Oryzias latipes: one gene and its partners. The protein of the gene in region 3 interacts with the protein of the main gene of each other region in a pairwise test. Links are inferred from orthologs where the notes say so. Each region holds a gene or a part of one and is shown on either strand. Other genes may lie near its edges.

What was found. The genes of interacting proteins can lie anywhere in the genome.
Region 1: the proteins of cep70 (region 3) and zcchc10 interact in binary tests that used the Homo sapiens proteins (3 or more experiments, as listed by UniProt). The two-hybrid records come from large-scale screens. The link is inferred for Oryzias latipes from reciprocal best matches to the Homo sapiens genes CEP70 and ZCCHC10.
Region 2: the proteins of cep70 (region 3) and leng1 interact in binary tests that used the Homo sapiens proteins (3 or more experiments, as listed by UniProt). The two-hybrid records come from large-scale screens. The link is inferred for Oryzias latipes from reciprocal best matches to the Homo sapiens genes CEP70 and LENG1.
Region 4: the proteins of cep70 (region 3) and KAT8 regulatory NSL complex subunit 1 interact in binary tests that used the Homo sapiens proteins (3 or more experiments, as listed by UniProt). The two-hybrid records come from large-scale screens. The link is inferred for Oryzias latipes from reciprocal best matches to the Homo sapiens genes CEP70 and KANSL1.

Annotation. Positions count from the first base shown.
Region 1 is NC_019872.2:6,665,593-6,671,478, reverse strand, and holds the start of zcchc10 (zinc finger CCHC domain-containing protein 10), read left to right. Parts: upstream 1-2,342; 5' UTR 2,343-2,420; coding exon 2,421-2,461; intron 2,462-3,307; coding exon 3,308-3,469; intron 3,470-5,886.
Region 2 is NC_019874.2:19,389,621-19,395,371, reverse strand, and holds leng1 (leukocyte receptor cluster member 1), read left to right. Parts: upstream 1-2,207; 5' UTR 2,208-2,546; coding exon 2,547-2,678; intron 2,679-3,018; coding exon 3,019-3,195; intron 3,196-4,272; coding exon 4,273-4,559; intron 4,560-4,660; coding exon 4,661-4,880; 3' UTR 4,881-5,445; downstream 5,446-5,751. Other genes in the region: tmc4 (transmembrane channel-like protein 4), read left to right, coding at 237-334, 431-614, 704-834, 995-1,150, 1,272-1,350, 1,471-1,524.
Region 3 is NC_019860.2:1,159,602-1,165,324, reverse strand, and holds the start of cep70 (centrosomal protein of 70 kDa), read left to right. Parts: upstream 1-1,804; 5' UTR 1,805-2,056; coding exon of another isoform or gene 2,057-2,065; 5' UTR 2,066-2,195; coding exon 2,196-2,255; intron 2,256-2,338; coding exon 2,339-2,438; intron 2,439-2,618; coding exon 2,619-2,742; intron 2,743-3,900; coding exon 3,901-4,081; intron 4,082-5,723. Other genes in the region: double-stranded RNA-specific editase 1, read left to right, coding at 124-305, 380-558, 1,267-1,446.
Region 4 is NC_019877.2:19,819,128-19,824,887, forward strand, and holds the start of KAT8 regulatory NSL complex subunit 1, read right to left. Parts: upstream 3,545-5,760; 5' UTR 3,516-3,544; intron 1,350-3,515; 5' UTR 1,282-1,349; intron 1-1,281. UniProt on the Homo sapiens protein: Non-catalytic component of the NSL histone acetyltransferase complex, a multiprotein complex that mediates histone H4 acetylation at 'Lys-5'- and 'Lys-8' (H4K5ac and H4K8ac) at transcription start sites and promotes transcription initiation.

The DNA of each region.
Region 1 (5,886 bases), on a different chromosome or scaffold from region 3:
GCTCCAGTCGGCAACGGGATTTTACTAACTTCTCGCTTGGTATTATCGCGAGAGTTGAGCAGTTCTAGATGTCTCTCGACTTTTCCACAACCATCAAGTGAATAACAGACCGTTCTGGTTCACTCCAGGTTTTAAGACATTTATGTTATTTTTTAAGTCGTTTTTACCAGTTCTGTCAACTATTATTCTATTATATAACTATTATATACAACTATTATATAAAATTCCTGAAACAGTGTTTTGTCTATTTTACTGATATGATACAGTATTATTTTTTATTTCACATCAATGACTTTTATAAGTAACATAATCTTCATATATTTTGGATACTTCATTGCCATGTTGATTTCTAAAAGTTATTTTTTACAAAATAATTTAAGTAATTCATCTTTGTCATGTGCTTTCTAGGAACCGGATATTGATAAATCATGTAATAAAATGGTTACAGTAGAACAGGGGTGGAATTATATAAATTCGCTTCCTTCCACTCCCTTTCAAGCAATACTTAATTTTATGTCTAATTATACTAAGTTTGATTAGTTATTTTATAAATGTATAACTGACGATTGGATTGTTTTTTTGTGTATTATTCCTATTTGATTGCTTGAAATAAACCATTTCAAATCAAAAAATCAAAAATTATTGTTAACTATACAAAACAAAAATCAATGTCTAAAGTAGCCTGTGTTTTTAGTCAAGAATTAGAAGGTTTTTCATATTTTTTATACCGTGCAATACTTAAAAAAACAGACTTAACACATGTCTAGACCAACTTGTTATTTTATTGCTGTATATTCACTGCCCCTTCTTATATAAATAAAATTCTACTGTACTCTAATCTTCAATAATACTTTTTGTTATTAAAACTTTTGTGATTTAAGCTTTTCAAAGTTAGCCTAAATAATGAAAATGATCTTGTCTACAATAGGCATAGATTTTGCTTTTTAAATTTTTTATTCAGAGCAAATAATAATTTTTTCGTAAGACAGTCCTATGAGAAAGCTTTTTTGTTTTATTTTTTTCTTTGTTAACATACATGGTAAAAACATTTGAAATAAAAAAAAAATAAACAAACGAATTGCAACTTTAATAAGAATATGCATTGTATTTATTTTTGTCAGAAATTAGCTAAATGATGATGATAATGAGTATGAGATTAAAACAACTGTAATAATAACATAAACAAGTACAAAAACATAACAAAACATGCAAGCAAAACTGCAGTACTTCAACCCAACTACAATAGTACAAAGAATGTGTATCAATTAATTAACTTGGTAATACTGGCATCATATTGAAATTGGCAGACAATTAGGTTTTAACGTATCTGTTTCATCTAATTCAAATATATTAATTTGTTAAAATTAGGGCTGCACGATATGAGGAAAACTCGCGATATGCGATATTGGTGATTAATATTGCGATAACGATATAATTTGCAGTATATAAACAAATATCAAACCAACCAAAAACATCATTTCCATTTCAATGCAACAGCATAAAAATTATACTCCAAATGACCCTTGTCGACATAGGAGGCAAACATCAAACATAAAAGGGCTCATTTGATTGATCAACAACGTAAACGAGTCCTTCCGATTGGTTAAATGCATAAAGGGATTTATTTCATTTATTCAATATTTCAAGCTGCCATGAGTTTGTTTTAGCACATTTAACCCTTGTGCTATCTTAGATGACCCCCCCTTACAGTGACGTGTTCTTCCTACCATGACAAAGGTGGATAAAGGTGGAAAGATTTCATGTAATCCATGGACACCAGTGAAGATCACAAATCCTAGAAGAAAAAAGGTTCAGAGCACTGTTTAGTGGGTCTAGATGACCCCACTCCCAATGTTAAAGTGCTTAGGATAGCACAAGGGTCAAGGTAACCATTTATTGCGATTTTGCCGTCTTTTGCGGTATGCATATTGCACAGTTTGATGTCGCGATAACGATAAATTTGCGGTATATTGTGCAGGCCTAGTTAAAATCCATATCAAAATGTTGAATGTACAATCTTGCTGCTGCTAAAAAAGAAAATACATTTTTACATGATTTTTCAGTTTATCTACTATTTTTAACACTAAATCTGAAAAAGTACAAACTTTAACTCATCATCTAGGTAGTTTGTATGTTTGCTTATTTCCTTATTTGTACTATTGATGTTGTAACTGTGTTGAATTATTAGAACCACTGAATATTATTTCTACTTAATAAATGCATTAAATTAATTTAACGCATTTATTAATAAGGAAACTATAAAGAATTTTTGTTATGAAAATTTCAAAAATAGTGGGAAAAAATGAACATGACCTTAAAAAGCTTTATCCGTTTTTACCACTGGGGGCGCTGAATACATTAACTTTTCCGGAAGCTCGTTGTGAAGAAACACCACAGAAGAAGTTGCATCAGATTTTAACATGGCTACTCCTATGCACAGAATAATTGCCAGGAGACAAGCGTGAGTATGTTTTCGTTATCACAACGTTACTGATTCCATACCAAATTTATGTGAAGACAACATATCGATAAACATAAATTACACTTTTTTGTTGGGTGCAATATCCTATAGAAGCGGTAAATAACGATTATTTCACTGTTTAAAAACAGTTAAGATGCTGCGCTTCTTCTTTCGCTGTTCACACTTGTTTTCCGCCATTAACGCCCCAAACTAATTATCGATACAACCGCACACGTTCCTGAGGATTTTAGTAGACATTAAGGGGCGGAAAAACTACATTTTGTTTGTGTACAATCTAATAAAGAACGAGCTTACTGCATAAAAGTTGGGATAGAATTCAGTAGTTCGTGAATCGTTGATGGCCTCACCGACCGTGTTATGTTCACTTACTTGGGTAGTAATCAATTAATTCAATAAAATTGGGTTTAGTAAGAATCTGACGCAGGAAAAAACAAAATTTTCAGGACTTTTATAAATCCTTTTCAAAATATGAGATTTTATCAGTATCCACTGTAATATAAAATATTGAATTTTTCTTTTAGTTTGGTTTGGTTTACTTATGCCAAAATTGTTTTATGAACCAAATGGATTTGTAGTGGCCTTTTTTAAAGTGGAAAAAATCAAATTAAATCTAATTGTGAACTTGGAAGCTACTCTGCCTCAATATATATCATCTTCATATTTAAAAAGAAAAATTCAGAGGTTCAACCTCCGTCACTAAGATCAATTACAAACATTTTCTTGTGAAAAACTATCAAGTATTTCCAGGTATTTATGGATTTGGCCCATTTAACGTACTCCTTTTGTAGTGTTGAATCTGAAACCTCTTTTTTTTTTTTTCTACAGGGAGGCAAACAAACAGCATGTACGATGTCAAAAGTGTTTGGAGTTGGGACACTGGACCTATGAATGTACGGGCAAAAGAAAATACGTCCACAGACCATCAAGAACAGTTGAGATGAAAAAGAAATTGAAAGAAGTCGAAAATAAACCACTAAGCATTACTGGGTAAGGTCACTTATTCTTTTCTTAAATATCCTAATTGTATTCTTTCTTAAATTTGAATTTAACCACAAGGGGGCACAATTCAATGCTTTCATGTGGCGAATCCCAAGTCTGTAAATGCTGGAGGTTGTGACTGTATACAATATGAAAAACATAACCAAATCCAAAAACGGAACCACAGACAGAACTGTTCTACCAGATTGGCTGTAGAGCGGTTGGTGAGGTGTGCTGTAGGTGTGACCGAAGACTTCAAGGTGGAGGTGGGACTGGACAATGGATCAGCTTGAACTCTTCATTGTTTGATGTGATGATGGACAGACTGACAGACGAGGTTTAGACAAGAATCTCTGTGGACTGTGATGTTTTCAGATGACACTGTGTTCTGTAGTGAAGGAACATCTAGAGAGGTGTAGGCTTGTTCTGGAAAGAAGAGGAGTGAAGGTCAATCTCAGAAGGACAATGAGGAGGATTCTGGTGAGATTACAGGGAGCCGGGGTGAAGAAGATGGACGACTTGAAGTATTTAGAGGTCAGCAGTCCAAAGCAACAGATTGAGGAAGGATTCAGATGTGATGTGTGACAAAAAAGTTTCAGCAAGAATGAAAGGAAAGGTGCAGAAGACAATGGAAAGAACAGCCTTAGTGTTGGTTTAGACTAGAGCAGGGGTGGGCAATTCCAGGCCACGAGGGCCGGTGTGTCTGCATGATTTCCAGATACTCTTGCCCTACTCATGGCTGATTACCTGGTTCAGGTGTGTCCAGCCAATCAGAACATGCCAGAGCAGGGTATGCTGGAAAACATGCAGGACTGCGGCCCTCAGTGCCCACCTCTGGACTAGAGCATGGTTGTCAGAGTCCAGGGGGGTATTCCAGGAAGCATGTTTAAACTACCCTGACTTTAAGCCTGAACTCTGGCTGAAATCCGCCTGAACTTGCTTACTCTGGGTATGGCGGTTCCAAAAGACCGGATATGAGTTGGCGTAATTACGCTCGACTGGGTAACCCTGGGTTACCGCACGTGCACAGCAGGTACATAAAGACATTCTCAATGGATCGCCGATATCCCAAGTCACCATGGAAACGCGTGGAGAACAAAAGAGAGCGCTATACTTCAGTGAGACGGAGTCTGAGATTTTAATGACGGCGTATGAAGATTATACGCCCATCAAAAAGTAACACGGCTGCATCAGCAAAAGAGAGTTTCTGCTTGGAGAAAAAGAACGGAGAAATAAACGCACAAGTTTCTGATCTTATTTAAAATGACATTGTGACGTATATAAATAAAACTTATCGAACTTAAAAAAATTGATTCAAATGGTAACAAGTGATGGAATTAAATTTATTCAACCTAATTTCTTACGTCTATAAAACTCTAATTGTTTTTAGAACTCAAATTTACATAGTTATCTAACTAAATGTCATATTACTCCAAATCAATTAAATGTTTTTCCATCTCAATTTATGGTACTTCTTGAACTCTCATATGTCTAAGTTAGAGGCTGCAGATTTTCTCATTTCTATAACATTAAAATGAATGACATGGTGTGAATTTACAATATATACCATGCCTTTAATTATCATGAGTCTGACTGTAACTTCAGTTCTTAGACTGCACTCTTGTACTAGTGCTGCTAAATAACCTCATCCTCCTCTCCCTCCCTCTCACTCATGGTGCAGAAAGAATTAAACATAACAGGATAAAATAACACAGTAAAACAACAAAACACATTTGGTCAAAAGAAAGGTGTGGATTCTGACACCCCTGGTTGAGAGACTCTGACAAGAAGAGCAAAGATGAAGATGTTGAGGTTCTCTTTGGAGGGAGGAGGATGGATTGCATCAGGAATGAAGTGATAGTAGAGCACATGTGTCAAACTCAAGGCCCGCGGGCAAAATGTGGCCCGCCGTGTCATTTTATGTGGCCCGCGAGAGCATACCACTTTTTCATTTCTTAAAATAAAAAAAGGCGTATAATTATTTATTTTTTGGAAATAAGTGTTGAGCTCCAATCTACACTATCGGATCTCAAAGACAAACCCATCTCTATTGAGCTATTAGCCCCTTTATAATAATGAAACGATTCAGCTGGGTCGTCATTCGGAGCGGGAAAGTGAGAGCGGAGCAGTCCATCAACTGACTGACTGACTGACTGCGCTGGACACTTGTCTGCCCTGCATGCCGCATGACTCCCAACGAGAAGCTGATTGCGCAATCCGCTTTCCAGCATTGAGCCCAATTAATTTGAACGCGCAGAACGTTGAACATCGCACACGAGTCATCCCCCTTTCCTCTCCCCACAATCACGGTGCAACAAAAGAAGCAAACATAACAGGAAGAATTAACTAAGGGTGGAACAACAAAACTGATGGATGGAAAGAAACGTAGGCAACAAGAAACACCCATTCTCAACCCTATTCTGACC
Region 2 (5,751 bases), on a different chromosome or scaffold from region 3:
ATTAGTGACACAACAAAAACTCTTTAAAAAGCCAAAGAAATTATGAAGGTTGAAACGAAGGGAAAAAACTACACAATAAATAATTTTTGTTAGCATGTATCATCATCAGCCAGTATAACTAGAGTAAATTTTCAAATTATGTCTTATAGTAGCAACTTCTAACTTCAGCCTTTAACGTTTTGAGTTTGCATTGTGAATCATGCTAGTTTTTGCCTGTTTGTCTCCTGATGATGAAGTGCTGGGAAACTCGTGTGGGACAGGAGATGTATAAGCTGACACTGTTTGACCTCCTCATTAACATTGCTGTGCTTGTACTGGTCGAATTTCCACGCAGGTACTGTGTTTACCTTTTAAAAATGAGATGCTGTCAGTTTGAATCAGGTTTGCATCTTAACATTTTTAACTGTGTGTTCCCTAACGTGGGTCTTAGGATGGTGGTCGACAATTGGTCCAGTAAAGTCTCTCAGCTGGTGGGCCGGCAGGAGTTTGTTGTTTCTTCCAATGTTCTGGGGCTGGTCTACAGCCAAACGGTGGTCTGGACTGGAGCCTTGTTTTGCCCTTTGCTGCCCCTCATCAACACTGTAAAGTTTGTGATCCTCTTTTACTGCAAAAAGGTGAAATTCAGCTTCAATAGACAGAATGTTTCATCATACTCATTCCTTTTTGATAATCTACTTGTTTCTATTGCCACTTTCCTAAACAGATAACACTGTTCTCCAACTGTCGGCCACCCCAAAAAACGTTTCGCTCCACCACCTCAGCCTTCTTTTTCCTGGTGGTACTGCTCTTAGGCTGGATGCTGGCCTCAGTTGTCATGATTTACAGCATTGCTGTGTGAGTGTGGATGTTTCTTGGTAACATAAATAATACAATTATTTTTCCTACTGGTCAGAAAGTCAAAATTTGGCCAATTTGTCGCAATACAAAAAAGGCGATGGCTTTGTAGAGATTTATGAAATTATGTCTGAGTGACGTTCCGTGTCTGTCCATACAGGATCCATCCTTCTCGGGGATGTGGGCCTTTCCGGTTCTCTGACAACATGTGGTTGATTATACCGACATCTTTCTACAACCTCTCTGCAGCCACACAAGAGTTTCTTTTCTTCATTGGCTCACAGGCGTTTACAATCCCCCTGTTTTCATTATCGGGGTAAATCCATTTTCATTTTACATGAAAATCATTGAACTGTCTTGCACTGTGCAGATATAGATGATATTTTTCTTTGAATGCCAGTTGATTCTTTACCAGCTGACTTGTTTCTCCGTCATAGTTTGGTGATGTGCTACGTCATAGCTTTGTTCTCCATCTATGGGAAAAGTGTTGGACTGCTAAGACTGCAGCTCAAACGGGTAAGTTGATGGTATCTAAAGCAGTATACTAAGAATTGGCCATGAGTTAACAAAGATTTTTTTCAATATTTCCTTTTTTACTTTAACTAATACAGGGTCTGGTCTTTTTTGTTTTTACAGGAGAGCCGGGATAAGCAGTTCTTAGTCAAGCAGATTGAGGAACTAAGTCGGTAGATGACCAAGATACCATTTGATAGATACATATATATACTGTATCTACCACTACAAGACTAAACAGCCTCTGGACAATGTTTAGTCTCTGCAGTACAGTAACATGAGACGATGTCATAAAGAAAGGATGTTTATTAAAAAGAAAAAAAAAGCTTCATATTATATATACATAGTGAAATTACACCAGATTCTTTCAAAATAAAATGTTAAAAATGTTGCACATTAAACATCACTGTTCTTTAAGCACTTTAAAAGTGATCATTTAAACAGGTGTTTTGATCATTTTTGGATATAGACTTTGCAAAGAAATGCATGTAAAAAAATTGAACCTCTAATACTGTTTTAAAAAAACAAGACAGTTGGACAGTGTTTTTGTTAAGACGAGAGCAACCAAAAATAATTGTTTATTTTTGACCCTTTTGAGACTACGGTATGTATTCAAACTTTTTATATTCTTTTCTTTAAATGTTGTGATTTATTTGTATTTTTTTAATGAGAAGTCCTTCGTTTGCTGTTGTTTTTTTTTTTTTTTATTGCTTTTTAAAGTTTAGTCTTGCTCGCTTATGACCATTACATTTATTTCTTTTGAATAAACCAGTTGGCGCTCGCTCCAGCTCCATCTAACGATTCTTCTTTGTAATTGCTTCAAGAGTTGTAACTTTTTTTGTTTACTTCCTGTTTGGGTCTACTACTTCCGGTGGACCACAGCAAACCTGGAATAGATGAACTCTCCAAAAAGTCGGACAGATTTGTTTGTTGTTAGACCTTAGGATATTAAAAAAAATAATACTGTGCTTTTAACGAGCCAGGTTTGCCGTCATGAATGCTAACTTAATGTAGAAAAAATGTAAGCTAATGTTTTAAAATCTAGACAATTGCGCAGATTTTTTGCTAATTTCTGCTTTACTAATCATATCAGACTCAGTCACCTGGCTGATTCGCGTTCCATATTGTTGTAGATCAAAGGCTCGGGTCTGTTCTTCCTCTAAATTTTGAGTTAGCTAACTGCTAACAGTAACACCATCATGAATATCCTTCCGAAGAAAAGCTGGCATGTCCGCAATAAAGACAATGTAGCGCGCGTGCGAAGGGACGAAGCCCAGGCTGCAGAAGAGGAGCGCGAGGCTAAACGCCGCGTGGAGCGCGCGGAGCAAGAAGTATGTTCAGTTTTACCGTTCGTTTTTTGTGTTTACATCTGTCTGTGTTTCGTGCTGGCAGAGTATACGTTAACAGATCACGTGACAGTTTAGCTGGTTCTGAGCTGAAAATGAGTTGGAAACCTCTGCAACTGAGTAGATTATATGTATTTTTTTCCTTTCCTTTTGGGGGGTTGTTATTCACAAATCATATACAAAATTGAGGTTTGAACACTATCATTAAGAAAGTGTGTTGTTCCATCGCTAATATGGAGCTGATGTTTATTTTTTATTGTGTTGATAATCTGAAATAGATTCAAACTTCATAACATGCAAAAATTGTCATGGTTTGTTTCCACAGGCGCGAACAGAATATCTGAGAAGAAAGGCCCGAGCTGGTCTCCAATCAGTGGAAAGCACAGGAGATGATGGGAGTCAAAGCGGAGGACATGTGGAGCATCTCAATCTTTTTCCTTTGGAGGAGTCTTCAGATAAGAAGGGGAATGAAGAGTATCTCAAAGAGAAGAAGGAGGAAACGGTGATTGTGCTGCTACTTCTGTTTATATTCTGAAAATTACAGGTTTATCTGAGTAAACACTCACTAAAAATAATTTAGGAAGTCCATTTTATGGATTTTTTCTTTTCATTTGTTGTAGGAGAGGAATGGTGTACAAATCCCAGGAAATTGATTGTCTGATCCAGCACAGATTAACATCTATTTTTGTTTGTGTGCATAAAATACTATAACTATTGTGTTTTTCATGTTTGAAACTCTCATTCTAATTCTGCATTCAAAGAATGAACACTTTTAACAACCAGACTGCATTTGCTTGACAGTTAGTTTTCCCTTGTTTATCACGGGAGTTATCTTCTAAAAATAACCCACATCAGGTGAAATCCACAAAGTAGAATTCGAGATGTTTTAAGGCTGTAAAACGGAACTTTGTTTCATGTTTAAACTCTTAAAGTTCAAACATTTGTAGTAAAATAAGTCATGTATTATAGAATAAAACAAAAAAATCTGTTTGTGGTTGAAGATTTAGATATTTGGCAAGCTAAACGCATTCTGTACAGGAGACACCGCTTGGAGGAAAGTACTTGACAAAGTCTACTACCAATCAGGATGCAGAACAAATTGAGCTGTTAAAAGAAATCAATGAAAAGAAATATGAAAAAAATCAGCGAGAGCGTGAAAGATATAGCGAGGGACCACTGTACTCAAAAGAAAAAAAACAGGTTGCTCATCTACAAGTTGCAAATGAGTAGCACTCTGCAGCTTTTTGTTGATTTTTAAATCAGTAATGCTAATTTAAAAAGGTAAACATCCACTTTTCCCCACCTAATACACTTGGTTTGCTGTGGTTTCTTATTCTACAGTGGCAAAAACGTGCAGCTGGATCTCATCAGACTCTGTCAGGATTTTTATTTTACCAGGAAGTTCTGATTCTACTTTTATGCAACAATGTTCAGTCATCTATTAGAGAAGGAAAAATGACACAAAGAACAATTTGCATGAAAAGGCAATGGAGTTTATTACAGTTTTTTTTATTCTCCAATACAATTATTTGAAATGGAATATTTTAAATATTGATCATAGCTACTCTGGTTTGTCCAGGAGAAGCAAGAGCGAGCCATCGGCCTGCTTGTTTCTTTAGGCCCCCAACCAGGCACTGAGGTGACTCCATGGTACATGCAAAGCAGCGCAGAAAAAGAAGAAGAAGAATCGGAAAAGAGGAAGGGCATAATTGAAGAGGAAAAGGCGAAGAAAGACCGCAGGCTGAAGGAAAGTTTGGATCCTTTGAAAGATATGAAGAAAGCATTGGGGGAAAGTGAAAGGAGGCACCACAAGAGCAAGAAAAAGGAAAGAGGAGACAAGGGAGAAAAGAGGAGCAGTGGGGAAAGGTAAGAAAGACTTTGGTTGCTTGAATGTCCTTCTAATGATGTTGATTACATAATAACACTGTTTTTTTATGGTGTTTTCTGTTTTTTTTTTGCCTTTTCAGCTCCATGGAAAGATTGCGTGCTGAACGCTTACAAAGGGAAGCTGAAGAAAGGAGAAGAGCCCAGGCTTTGCTTGAGCAGAGGAGTGGGAAAAGGAAGGATGCAACGCGAGAAATGGACGACAGGGACCGGCCTTACAACAACGCTTACTTCCCAGAAATTGCCCGAAAACGACAGAGGCGAGACAGAGAGAGCTGGAGAGATGAGATTCTCAAATCTTGAGTTTCATTATTCTGAACATTTTACAATCAGATGGTTAGGATTCCCTATGACTTTTTTTTTTTCATTTGTCCTGTTCTGTCCATAAAAGGAAAGTCTTGCAGGAACTAGAGGTCATGTCCAACAGCAGTTCTCTCCACCCCCGCCGCCTTTTCACTCATGAGCACATCAGCAGGGCAGATGGCTGCCATCACAGGGGGCCTGAAGCACAGGCTGTCGAGAAGAAAAACCCTAAACCACTGCTCGGCTGGCTTACATCATTGTAAAAATGGACAAGTTTGTGCTGAAATCATTCATTCCAACATGACAAATCAATAAAAAAAGCCTCTTTTACATTTTAATAACTGTTTAGATGCTTCCTTTAGTCAATATTGAGGTTGTATTTGAGCCACAACACAGTTTTGTCCTAAAATGTGATTTAAAATCTTTGTAGGCTAGTTTTTTTTTTTTTTTTTTTTAGTTGTGAGGTATAAAAGGAAAATGCAGTTCTTTGTGAACATGTTTCTGTATGTTTTAGAAAAAAGATTTACAGACTTTCCAAATAAATGGATGACATGGATCTGGAAAATGTCACCTTCTCTGTTCAGGATCCAGGTACGGCATTTCTCTCCGAGTCACACTGGTTGAATTTTAAGATAAAGATGTCCTGGATTGATTTTAGGCTGGTGAATCGGATCAGTCAAAATGAACCAATATGGACCATGAATCACATCGTCTGCCACAAAATACATTAAAGAATTGTTAAAAGGAATCATTACACTTGTAGTTTTAGTGCTTTTCCATAAGGTTTTCTGAATGAAGATTTTATTCTATTGCAGCCCATTGTGACTGTTGTATGAATAAATGAATGTGATATATTGTCTATATAGTTCTT
Region 3 (5,723 bases):
CTACTCTATAAATGCAGGTGTAGGGTAAACGATTGACCTGTCAATCATTATGAGTTAGTGGTTGGTAACTTGGATGTCTCCGATTGCGTTAAATCGTATTCTTGCGTCTCTGGTGAGGTACAGGTGGAACGTGTTGGGGTTCCAGGGCTCCCTGATGAGCTACTTCACCGAGCCGCTGTACTTCTCCAGCATCATCGTGGGCAGCCTGTACCATGCTGCGCACATGTCCAGGGCCATGTACGGCAGGATCGGTCCGTTGGAGGGCCTGCCGCCAGGTTTCTGCCTCAACCGGCCGCTGCTCAGCGGTGAGACAGATGCAGGAAACGCCCGGTTCTTGGGTCACGGCCTCCATCAAAGTTCCCTGACTTTGGTTCTGCAGGAATAAGTAACCCAGAGGCCCGGCAGCCCGCAAGAGCTCCACCCTTCAGCGAGAACTGGACTGCAGGTGACGACGATGTGGAGGTGATTGACTCCACCACGGGGAAAGAAGAAATGGGTGGACCGTCAAGACTCTGCAAACGCGCCTTTTACTGCCGCTGGATGCAGCTGCACAGCAGGGTGAGCAGATGCTGGCATTATGTTAGCTTTTATTTAGCTAAATAAGAAATTGGATTTGCTGAAAAGATAATCAGCTAAAAAAACAAAAAATAGTATTTGCTAATTTGCTAATAACCCAAATAAATATTTCCTTATTAGCTTAGTAGTTAATAATTGTATTTGCTATCAAACTAAGTAGCTAAAAAAAACAAATACTAGGCTACATCTAAATGATGCACTATGTAGCTCAAGCAGCATTCTGTACAGCTGTCCGAATCTACAATTTCAAAATCGAGAGTCCTGAAAATTTCCCAGAAGTCACTGCAAACAACCACTGTCCATTGATGCTCACCAGTATAAGTATAATATAGTCCACAATGCAATTTCTTCTTAACAATTTTTGTTGAGGGGGAAATAAATGTATTTTTTTAATAAACCATTAACGTTTTCAGTGGTTATATAAAGTCGTATAAAACGCTCAAATGAACTAGATGTTGGTGATGTCATGAACATTTCAGTTTGAGAGAAAAAAAAAGCATTTTTAATGATTTTGATGCTTTTCCACAACCTCATCCCAGACAGAAATACACACTTTACTTTCTAAATCTTTGTTTGAGGCCTCAAACTCCTTTTTTAAGCTATAGATGTGTGAAGCCTTAAATATGAGGAGGATCCTCTTTGGTCTGACAGCAGAAGTGAGAGTTTTTCTCCGTCTTCTTGTCCGTGTAGCTGTCCTCCTTCCTGCGGGTCTCAGCCCCGCCGCCCAGCAGCTACCACCAGGCTAAGCGGGCGGCCGAGGAGTACTGCTCCGCCAAGCACACGCTCTACAGAGCTTTGGCTGACGCTGGACTGGGCATCTGGGTCAAGAAGCCCGCAGAGCAGGACCGGTTCTCCCTGAGCAGCTCCTGACTCCTTTCAGATGAGCTTCCTGGTTGCCATGGAGACGGGACTGGCAGCAGACCCAGCAGTCCAAAAATGGATATCCTCAGTTTTACCTTGTTTCTGACTGACATGTGCAAAGTCTTCTGGCTGACGCAACAGCGCCACCTGCAGGAGGGGAGCCCTCGTACATGGAAATCATTCAGACCATTTGTTTATTAGGAGGAAAAAAGAATTAAATGTTTGATCTTTTTTATGTTCTGTTAAGCTTTGACGCTCAGATGTTGAAATGTTATAAATAAATGAAGAGGAAAAAAACGTGAGTGAGCGAAACAAATTGTTCAATAAAGTTGCATTAAAAAAAATCTTGTCTGTCATTGGCTTATTTTAGTGACGTCATCACGTACGGTTTGAATCTGAGCCCCAAACAGTCAGTTGTGTTCGTGGCGGGTTTTAAAGAGGATTTTTGTTGTTTTTATCCTGTTGAAGTGCTTTTCAGAGGTTTCTACGGAGTCCGGACTGGTTCGGTTCCTTTATTCGGAGAGTTCGAAACGGTGCCGAGAGTCCAACCGAACCTTTTCCACCGGCATTTCCACGGTTCTCATTCAGGAAAGCGGTTCTGTTCCAGGGGACTGACGGGATGTTGCAGGTGAGTCACGTGACACTCCGCTTGGTAACTGAAAACTGAGGAGGGAGGGGGGCTCAGTTTTCAGACGCGCGCGCGCGCCAGAGCACGAGCGTTTTCAGTTGAGTGGAGGTTGTTGGGGTTCAGAGCGGACATGCGGCCCCCGGGGGGAAATGGGACGTTTGTCTACCTGTGGACCTGCAGGCAGTTCCAGGTAGCGCCGCGGTGGGAACCAGGTGGGTCCCGCTTTGACCCGGGCGGTCTGACCCGGGTTGTGTGTTTGTGTGTGTGTCGCAGGAGCAGCAGGCGGAGTGGGAGCCGCTGAACCGGCTGCTGCAGCAGCGGGGCTTCCGGCCGGTGCTCTTTGCGGACCCCGTGGAGAACAAGAACCCTGCAGGTGAGAGCTCAGGTGATGACGTCACCGCCCAGCAGGAAATTCAACCCAAATGGTCCAAAGCTGCCTTTATTTGGTTAAAAACCCAGCAAATGCGGCATTATTGGGACTAAACAGAAACTAGAATCCATTTTTGGTTCTAAATTGATGATCTGGTTCCTGCCTGCTCCTCTGTGCTTCCAGAACTGGGCCTGCTGGACAGGAAGTCCGCAGCGGCGCTCAGGCGGACTCTGGAGACGCTGCTGGCGGACTCGGACAGGAGGCAGGCTCTCCTGCAGGAGCTGGTCGGGTCCAACAACCGGCTCCGGTGAGTGGCGCCCCCAGCTCTGACTGATGACCCCCCCCCCCCCCTTTGCAGCATTGTGGGGGTTCAGGTTTCTCTGTGGTCATCAGTGAGGTCTGGTCGTCTGCAGACCACCTGTCCTGTTATCCAATCCCCCGTCTGCTGTCCAAGCGTAACCGTGGCAACCGCATCTCTGATCCCATCCGATCACACAGAGGCTTTTATTTTGGTAAACGACTGGCGAACATCAGCTGAGGGGAGGACGGCTCCCTCAGGGACAATGTCTCTGTGAGATCCAGGATCAGGATCTCCTGTCAGGAACCGTGAGCTCTGACTGACAGACGGCAGAACCAACTTTTGTCAACTTCTGATCAAACATCCGCACTTCCTGTTAGACTTTTGTTTATCCTGGTTTTATGTAAAAGTTCCTTATAAAACTAAACCCATCAACTTTCATATAAACTCAAAAACATTTAAATTGGTTTAAAGAATATTTACATTTCTTTAAAAATGATGTATTTTTGCATGAAATACCGAAAAACTTTATTTATTCTACAAAAGTCTAAAAAGGTTAAAAAAAAACAAATACAGTTTTAATGATGGGAAATGAAAAACTATTATAGAAGGATTTCAAACTGAATAAAGTTCAAATTGAAATAACAAATGGTTTTAAAAAAATGAAATCAGGCATCCTTACTTTTAGGTTTTACTTGTTTTTTGTTTGCTTGTCAAATGTAACTAAAATGAAAAAATACTCGGCATGTTAATACTTTTTTTTTTTTTGTCATTTAGTATTTTATTGGTAATTTCTTGTTTGATAAATCCATGCTCTTATTTTGAAATATTTTATTGTATTTATGTATTTATAAATTTCAATGGATTTCTTAAATTATATATATATATATATATATACATTTATTTACCACCAGTTTTAACTTGTAGTTTAAAATTGATATTAAAATATATTTTTTACTACTTTTATTTACCTTTTATTCATAGTTTGACACTAAAATGATCAGAATCATCAATCAATCTGTAAATAATCATTTTAGTATTTTGAATGTCAGTTTTAGTTCTGTCCAGCAGGAATGAAGCCTTAAAAAAGGGGGCGGAGTCAGGAAAACAGAGGCTTTTCTCCTGTTGGTCTTTTTTTATTTTTATTTCTTTATTTTTTTTCTCCAGGGAGGAGGTCCAGGAGCAGATGAGTCGCGCCGCCCAGCACTCCCAGAGGGCCTCGGAGCTGCAGGCGCTGCTGGACCAGGTGAAGGTGAAGGTCCAGGACCTGGAGGACCGCTGCATCTGCAGGGCTGCGCAGACGCACAGCCGCACGCTGCAGCTGCAGCGCCACAGCGCAGAGGCCATAGTCAGTCCCTGATCTTTGCCTTCATTCATCTGACTTCCCAGTTTTCATCAAAAACCGTAGAAATTCAGCATAAAAAAAACAAAATTCAATGAAACCTTTTATTTTGAAATGCAGCTACTCTCCCAGTACTGCTGTCCCTCAAACAGATTTCAAAATAAGAGACAAATCAACTTCTACATGCCCCTCTGCCCCTGATACCCTGATCAGAGCTGCGACGTCATGAGATGTGACACTTTCCTTAAAAAAACATTTTTCACAATGGTGCTTTTTGGTTTGTTTTATCTCCATAGCAACCATTTAGTATTTCGATCGATTTTGTTTTTTAAACCACGCCCACATTCTTAATATATTCATATAGCTGATCCATGCTTAAATCAAAAACTTCTAGTTTAAAGGTTTTTTTCTTTTCTAGGAGTTTAAATGTGTAGCTGCTCCTAAAGATGATTTTTACGAAACATTCAAGATGGTGGTCTCTTCCTCGGGTCAAAGGTCAACAAACCTTCAGTTGTAGTCGTATAGGGAGTAAGCGAACTCTACTGTGTTCTTTTGTAAAATATTTTTGTCACTGACATGACGACTGTGAATATCCAGCAGTAGAATCGGTGACTCGACACTTTTTGCTTGGACCTCCCATTCCTGACACAAATGTACGCTGCTATGGTAACATCCAATACCCCAAATCTACGTTGTTTGGATGGGATTTGTTTACAAATGACGTACATTTTACGTTAATAATTATACCCAAATATTGCATAAACATTTGTCATTTTTTGTAGCAATGATCATATACAAAAATTAACTTTGGAAGAAAATTTTTAACGTTAAATATACTTCATAACGTCGATTTTAAGTATTTATTTGTTTGGGAAATTTGCTTACGAATAACGTAAATTTGATGGTATTTCAGTGAAATTTATGTTATTTGTTTGTAAACATTGCATACAATAAATCAAATAATACGCAGATATTTGGAAATAAACATAGGATAGAAATACATCAATTTTAATGTTGTCTGTTTGCAAATATCGAATAGAAACGACGTAAACTTGATCTTCTTTGGTTGCGAACCTCGCAAAGAAAATTACGTAAATTCTGTTATTTGAATGCAATCGTCCCAAATGAATGTCGTGAATTTTCTTTTTTTTTTTTTCAAATAAATTACGTAACTTTGATGCTAACCTAGCATATGAATAACGTAAATGCTGATATTGCGATGCGAGCCTAGCATCCAGAAATCCCTTATATGGTAAAGGAGTTCTGGAAAGTGGTTGGGGTCAAAGTGCGCAGAGCTTTGGTCAACAGACTGCCGTCTTCAGCTCTGGACCTGCGGTCCTTCCTCTGTGGTTCTGGTTCTGGGTTAAGGCCGTGTGTTTGTGATCCCTCTGTGGTTCTGGTTCTGGTTTAAGGCCGTGTGTTTGTGATCCCTCTGTGGTTCTGGTTCTGGTTTAAGGCCGTGTGTTTGTGATCCCTCTGTGGTTCTGGTTCTGGTTCTGGGTTGAGGCCGTGTGTTTTTGGACCCTCTGTGGTTCTGGTTCTGGTTTAAGGCCGTGTGTTTGTGATCCCTCTGTGGTTCTGGTTCTGGTTTAAGGCCGTGTGTTTGTGATCCCTCTGTGGTTCTGGTTCTGGTTTAAGGCCGTGTGTT
Region 4 (5,760 bases), on a different chromosome or scaffold from region 3:
TTGTGGTGTAACATTGTTTTAGATCAAAATGGGAAACTAATTATGAAATTTAATATCTTCACCTCATTAAAAAGTTATTTTTTAGGTACAATGTGTTTGCGCCATGTTGGTTTTATTTTATTTTGATGTAAACTTAAAGTTTTCTGTTATTTTCACTGCACTTCGAGCATGACATTATTCCAGTCTTTATCACTCTCCTAATGTTTTTTTTAGTATAATTACAATTTAGCACTTAAATTTAGATCTGTTACTGTTTCAGTTCTTAGGTGTTTTTAAACAGAACTGTTTCCTGTGGTAAGTTAAAACAAGTCACTGATGAAAATTGTGTTTTTGGTGTTTTAATGTGTTCTTGTAGCATTTTTCTGATGATGGAGGACATAAATTAGTATTTCTTTATTTCAAATCATTGTGAATCAGGAGCAGATGAAAAAAAGCCCACAACTCGGACAAATTTCTGATAAACTCCTGCCACTGTGCAGAAACTACGTCTTAGAAAATGACACAGGTTTCTTGATTTTGGCTAAAAACTGCCTAATCATAATGAAAAGACCACTGGGAATGCTTTGAAAGTACATCAAAAGATGATTGAAGTGATTTATCCTTCACAAACTAAGTTCATGATGGAACGCAGTTTTTCATCTTTAGCTAGCGCTTCCTTTTTCTTTTTTACATGTTGTGACTTTTTTGGTCCAACATTCTCACATTTATCTTCTGTCATTTAAATAAACAGCTCCTAATCACTTCCTGTGCTCCAGCAGGTTTTCCCATGGATGTCTTGTTAAGCATGAGATGTTTACTATGTTGAGTTGTATCCGCTCTGCCTCCTAAAACCTTAAGCGTCCGTGTGCGCGCATGTGAGACTCATAGATAGAGACCACCTAGAAAACGACTGTTGGGGAAAAATAATGACCCCAAACCTTAAACAAAAGCAACAATGTCAGAGTCAGAGTGCATTTTTCTAGGCTAACATGGAAAATGTCAATCAGGCTACCACTGCATCTAAAGACACCAAATCTATTAGCTTGTCCTGATATCTGCCTGTGGATTCCAGCACATTCTCCACAAAACTCCAATGACGTCCAGTAATTCTCCTTATGCAAAGCATGTCAACAGTTTGGTTCTGAACAACCTCTTTGAGATGAGCCTGGACCAGAGTCACTCAACTCATTTGAGTTTCTTATATCCATAAAAAAAACAAATCTTCCAGAGAATGGGTCTCCAATCCCCATTTGCTTTAGTGAACACTTTAAAGAAAGAAGAAGAAAAAGAGTTTAGAAATACCTGTAACTCCATTGTTGGTATAATCCACTCAGTAATCCAAAAGGTCATAATCCAGTCCCACCTGACGCCTGAAACCAAGTAAAAAGAACAGTTAATGAGAAAAGACGAGACATATTTTCCAATTCCACATTAAACTACTTTTTAATCACAAAGGGGAATTTAAAACAGTATTTTTTATTAGTGGAGGAAGGTTTTTAAAAAGCAGAGATGAGGTGCATCAGTTTATGAAGGTGTGTTAACTTTAATATTATTAACTTTATACCTCACTGCAAAAGTTAGATGCTAAATGTTTTCAAGTCCAAATCCTTTGGTAAGAGTCTGATCATGTGCCGATTCAAAGATGTACATTTCTTTGCTCTGCATACTGTAGCACTAGCATGACGTGGTAGGAAAATAATACTGGCTGCTTTACCTAAACTATCCTTCTAAACATTAAACTCTAAACATTTGTGGCACTGCGAAAAGTGCAAGGAGACAACTGTAACACTTTTTGAAATGAGCCTTTCTTCAGGATTTTTTATTTTAACCTTTGATTTAAAGATGTGAAAGCTTTCTGATTTCCATTAAAGCACATTAAGTTGTATAGCTACATCAAAAGAAATGAACCCTCTGGTTGCTGTTTATATAGTTACCGTCATAAATACCTTACATAAAAAACTGAGTTACTGAAATCACAGTGTTAATGTAATGCGTGAAGTGTAATGTGTCTTGTTGCTGCTTCATTCTCATACAATATGCTGTTAAAAAAAAAGAAGAGAGATTTACTGTTAAAGCGGATTCAGATGGACTTCATTTTGAATTTCTTTTGCATTCAAATGCATTCATTTCTTAGCTTCTTCAATATTTTAATTTCTTATGACTAAAGCTTTTGTTCAATACGCCTTTTTTAAATTTTGTAGTCACAAGACCCCAGTTAAGCAGAATTAACTACTGCCGTAAGAAAACCAGAAATGTGACGCCCACGCATGTGGACGCCAATTCCTAAAAGGTTCAATCTCAAATTAATTTGCTCAATTATTCTTTAGGGTTAAAAATAAAAGCAGCGGGTGATGCAGAAACAACAGCTTGATGTGATCATAGCAACTGTGATGTTTTACAGCAGGTTGCATTGCTTCAAACAGCAATAGATCTACCATGTTGGCATTTCAGCAGCCGGGGAGCTTCAGAGCATAGGTATTAAAATATATTTAATCTGTGTAAACATTCTTGTATGAAAAAATCTATTTACAAATAGTAGCTGTAGAAATTTTTATACAGTTTAAGGAGTTGATAGCTTTTTTTTTTTTTTGCTAACGTTTTGCTCTGTTGATTTTTGTTTTTTTGTTTTAATAATTATATTTCTTTTTACAACACATGGGGGGGGGGGGGGTACATGTTTACTGATGCATTTGATCTGTTTTATATAAAATCACACTTGCATATATGTTGTATACAAACTACTTAATCACTTTAGTTTGGTTTCCCAAAAGTTTGACTGTTTAAAGCTGCTGCGGCACTAACGAACCGGTTTTGTTTGTTTCCATGTTTCCCCTTCATTTTTTGTTATCTTTACAAGGTTTCGTACGGCATTCATTTTAATTCATTAGATCAAGTAAATAACATAAAAGAAAAAACACGAGACCATTTGAAAACAAGGGCAAGTTTTGACTAATAAAGTTATTTTCATCTTCAATCCGGAACTGGTTTGTAATGTATTCTCCTGATCAGAAACAAAGTCATAAAGTTTGTACCACTCATCAGTTCAGTATCGTAATCCAACAGAGTAAGCTAAGGCTAGCAGCCTGACGTTACCTACTACACCAAGACTGTTGCGGAAAATATAGGAGCAAAAGTTTTGCATGCTCAGAAATGAAAACACCGGGCTCGAAAGTTCAAGCGTAAGCAACTAGTGCAGCTCCATTAATGAGCACGGCCTCAGTGAAGGAGTTGTCATAGATTTTTCTTTTCCTAAAACACAATAAACGGCGGCTGCTGCTGCTAGCGCTGAGAGACTGGCCAATAGCGGCTAACCAGCTACAACAAGGCTAAGCTAATAAACGTTAGCTTGTTTGCTTCCCGATCCCTCACTGAGTTTTCAATGACTCTCGTTTTCGTGCACGTCTGTCGGAAAAGTGACCATAAAAAATGAACCTACTCTGATCAAACGTCCAAGGGTTAAACCACATGAGTGTTTTTTCCTGACAAGCACAGTGTTTGATAATTTTAAGAAAATAACAAGGCAAAATCTTACTTACCTGCTTGTCCTGTTACCAACGACCGATAACATCCGCCCCCTGCGCTCCTATTGGCCAAAACTTGAATTCGAGGATTGCTATTGGTTGGCACGGCTGTCAGTAACAGCAAATGCCCGTACAGCGGAAATGTGGATGAAAGTTCATAGCACGAAACTTCATTATCCAAAAATGATTGTTTTCAATAAAAATGTCCGTTTGAGTCACATAGTTTCGTCATTTTTTAATATATTCCTTATTTTTAATACCACAGCACAAGTGTTGCTTTCACTGCACGCTTGCTAGCAGCTCTCGCAGTAAACACACACACATATGTATTCATTGCGTTGTTTTCCAGACTTTACACTGAAATGTGCAAATGATTTTTCAAAAGCAGATGCAAATAAAAACAAGTCACGTCAAAAGGCAGATATCTATTTTCAAAAACGGATTAAATGTGATCAAATTCCTTGCACCCAAAGACGTGAGTGTGAGATTTGACTGTCCTGTGTTACCCAGTCAAAAGCAGGCCATAGAGGACAATAACGGATAAATACTGTTAAAAACTGCGTTTTAGGCTGAAGTTAGTGATGCATATGTGCAGCCAACAGGACCACAAGTTAATTCACATCAAAATAAGATGCCTTTTATGTAAATATTGGGGGATAAACAAAGAGTTACAGTGGGTAGTTGTTTTTAGTTCATCCAAAGTGGCTTTACATCAGTAGGAATATATAGATTTAGCTTAACAGTAATTAAATTAATGGATAAATGAACAAATAGAAAGATTTTGGTCATCTTTTATCCCAAACTGTTCTCATTTTATGTAGAGCCCCTGAAATGTCAACAGTTTTCATTATTATTTCTATTAGATTGGAACAGTAAAAGAAGAAGAAAACTAAATTGGGCAACAGAGAGAAGAGAAGTACCATGTAAAATCTTTAACCTTTAAGTCATTAATATAAATAATTATTTTAGAATGGTAGTCTAGATAAATTACCCAAAGTAAACTAAAAATGAATGAGGAAAGGTAATTTAAAAAGCTACAATTTATCCAAATAAAGAGTTTAATTATAGGGGAAAGAGGTTGGAACTTCTATTTATTGCTTTGTTAATCCACCATTCCAGTAATCCTGTAGTAATAAAAAAAAACATTACATGCTATTTATAGGAACACACATGTATTATTTTTTAACATTTTAGAAATTTAAATCTAAATAAATAAACATACACTCAGATTAAGAAGGTCACTCCAGGCCTTCTCTCAATCCTTCTGTGATTCTTGATTAGAGGTGTTCTTCAGGGTTCAGCGTTTGGGCCTCTTGTGTTGCTATGAGCTAAATTCTTTACTTACTTCTATAACATTATGTTTTCTTTTTCTTGTGCACCAAACTTGTTTTTCTTCCAATTCTTCTTATTTTGCTCCTACTGAAAAGTAAAATGTAAGATAAGATGACACAGGCACATTTTAAAGCTGGATGCTGAATTGTTAATGTCTGAGTCAGACTGTGGTTTAGGTTTATCTCAAGGACATCTCAATGATGCTAAGCCGATCTATGTTTTAGCTCTGTGGTGCAAAAGTGACATTTAATACTCCTTGAAACTTGGAAAAATATCTGCACATTCAGGAAAAAAAAGGAAAAATTTCCTCATTCATGTTTGACAAAGTGTTGTTGAACCTTACAGGCCCAGATCCCAGATTGTGACTGCACCTCAACAGGCTCCATAATATAAGCAATACATGAGATGAAATCATCCGGTCACCTCTTCCTAACCTGATGTTTCCATTATTCTGCTGAGGAAGTTGGACTCGGATTGTCCTTTTTCCCAGATAGGGTACGATTCTCATTCTCAATGAAAGTGACACCTTCTCTGTGTTTTGAAGCTGCTGTGCGTTTGGGATTGTTCTGCCTTGACTTTTAAACACTGCTGCAAGTTTTCTCCAACATGGATGCAATCTCTGATCTCACTGCTCAAGATGTTATTTTCAGGACGACTTTCCGTCGTGACTCACTGCTGTCTCTCCAGGCTTGTACAGTGCTTTAGACGGCGATTTACTCAGTTTAGTCATTTCAGCAGTCGGCTCAGTTGTTACTGAGCAACAAGCGGTTTCCCAACGGCATCCACAAAATGCTTACACCTGCAGGACTTTTCCAGGAGAAAATCTGACATGTTTACTCTTATTCTTGGCAAAGCTGTTAGTAAGATAATGTGGTAATCCATTAGGGTAATGTTACTGTAATGCAATAATCAATATGACAGTTAGTAG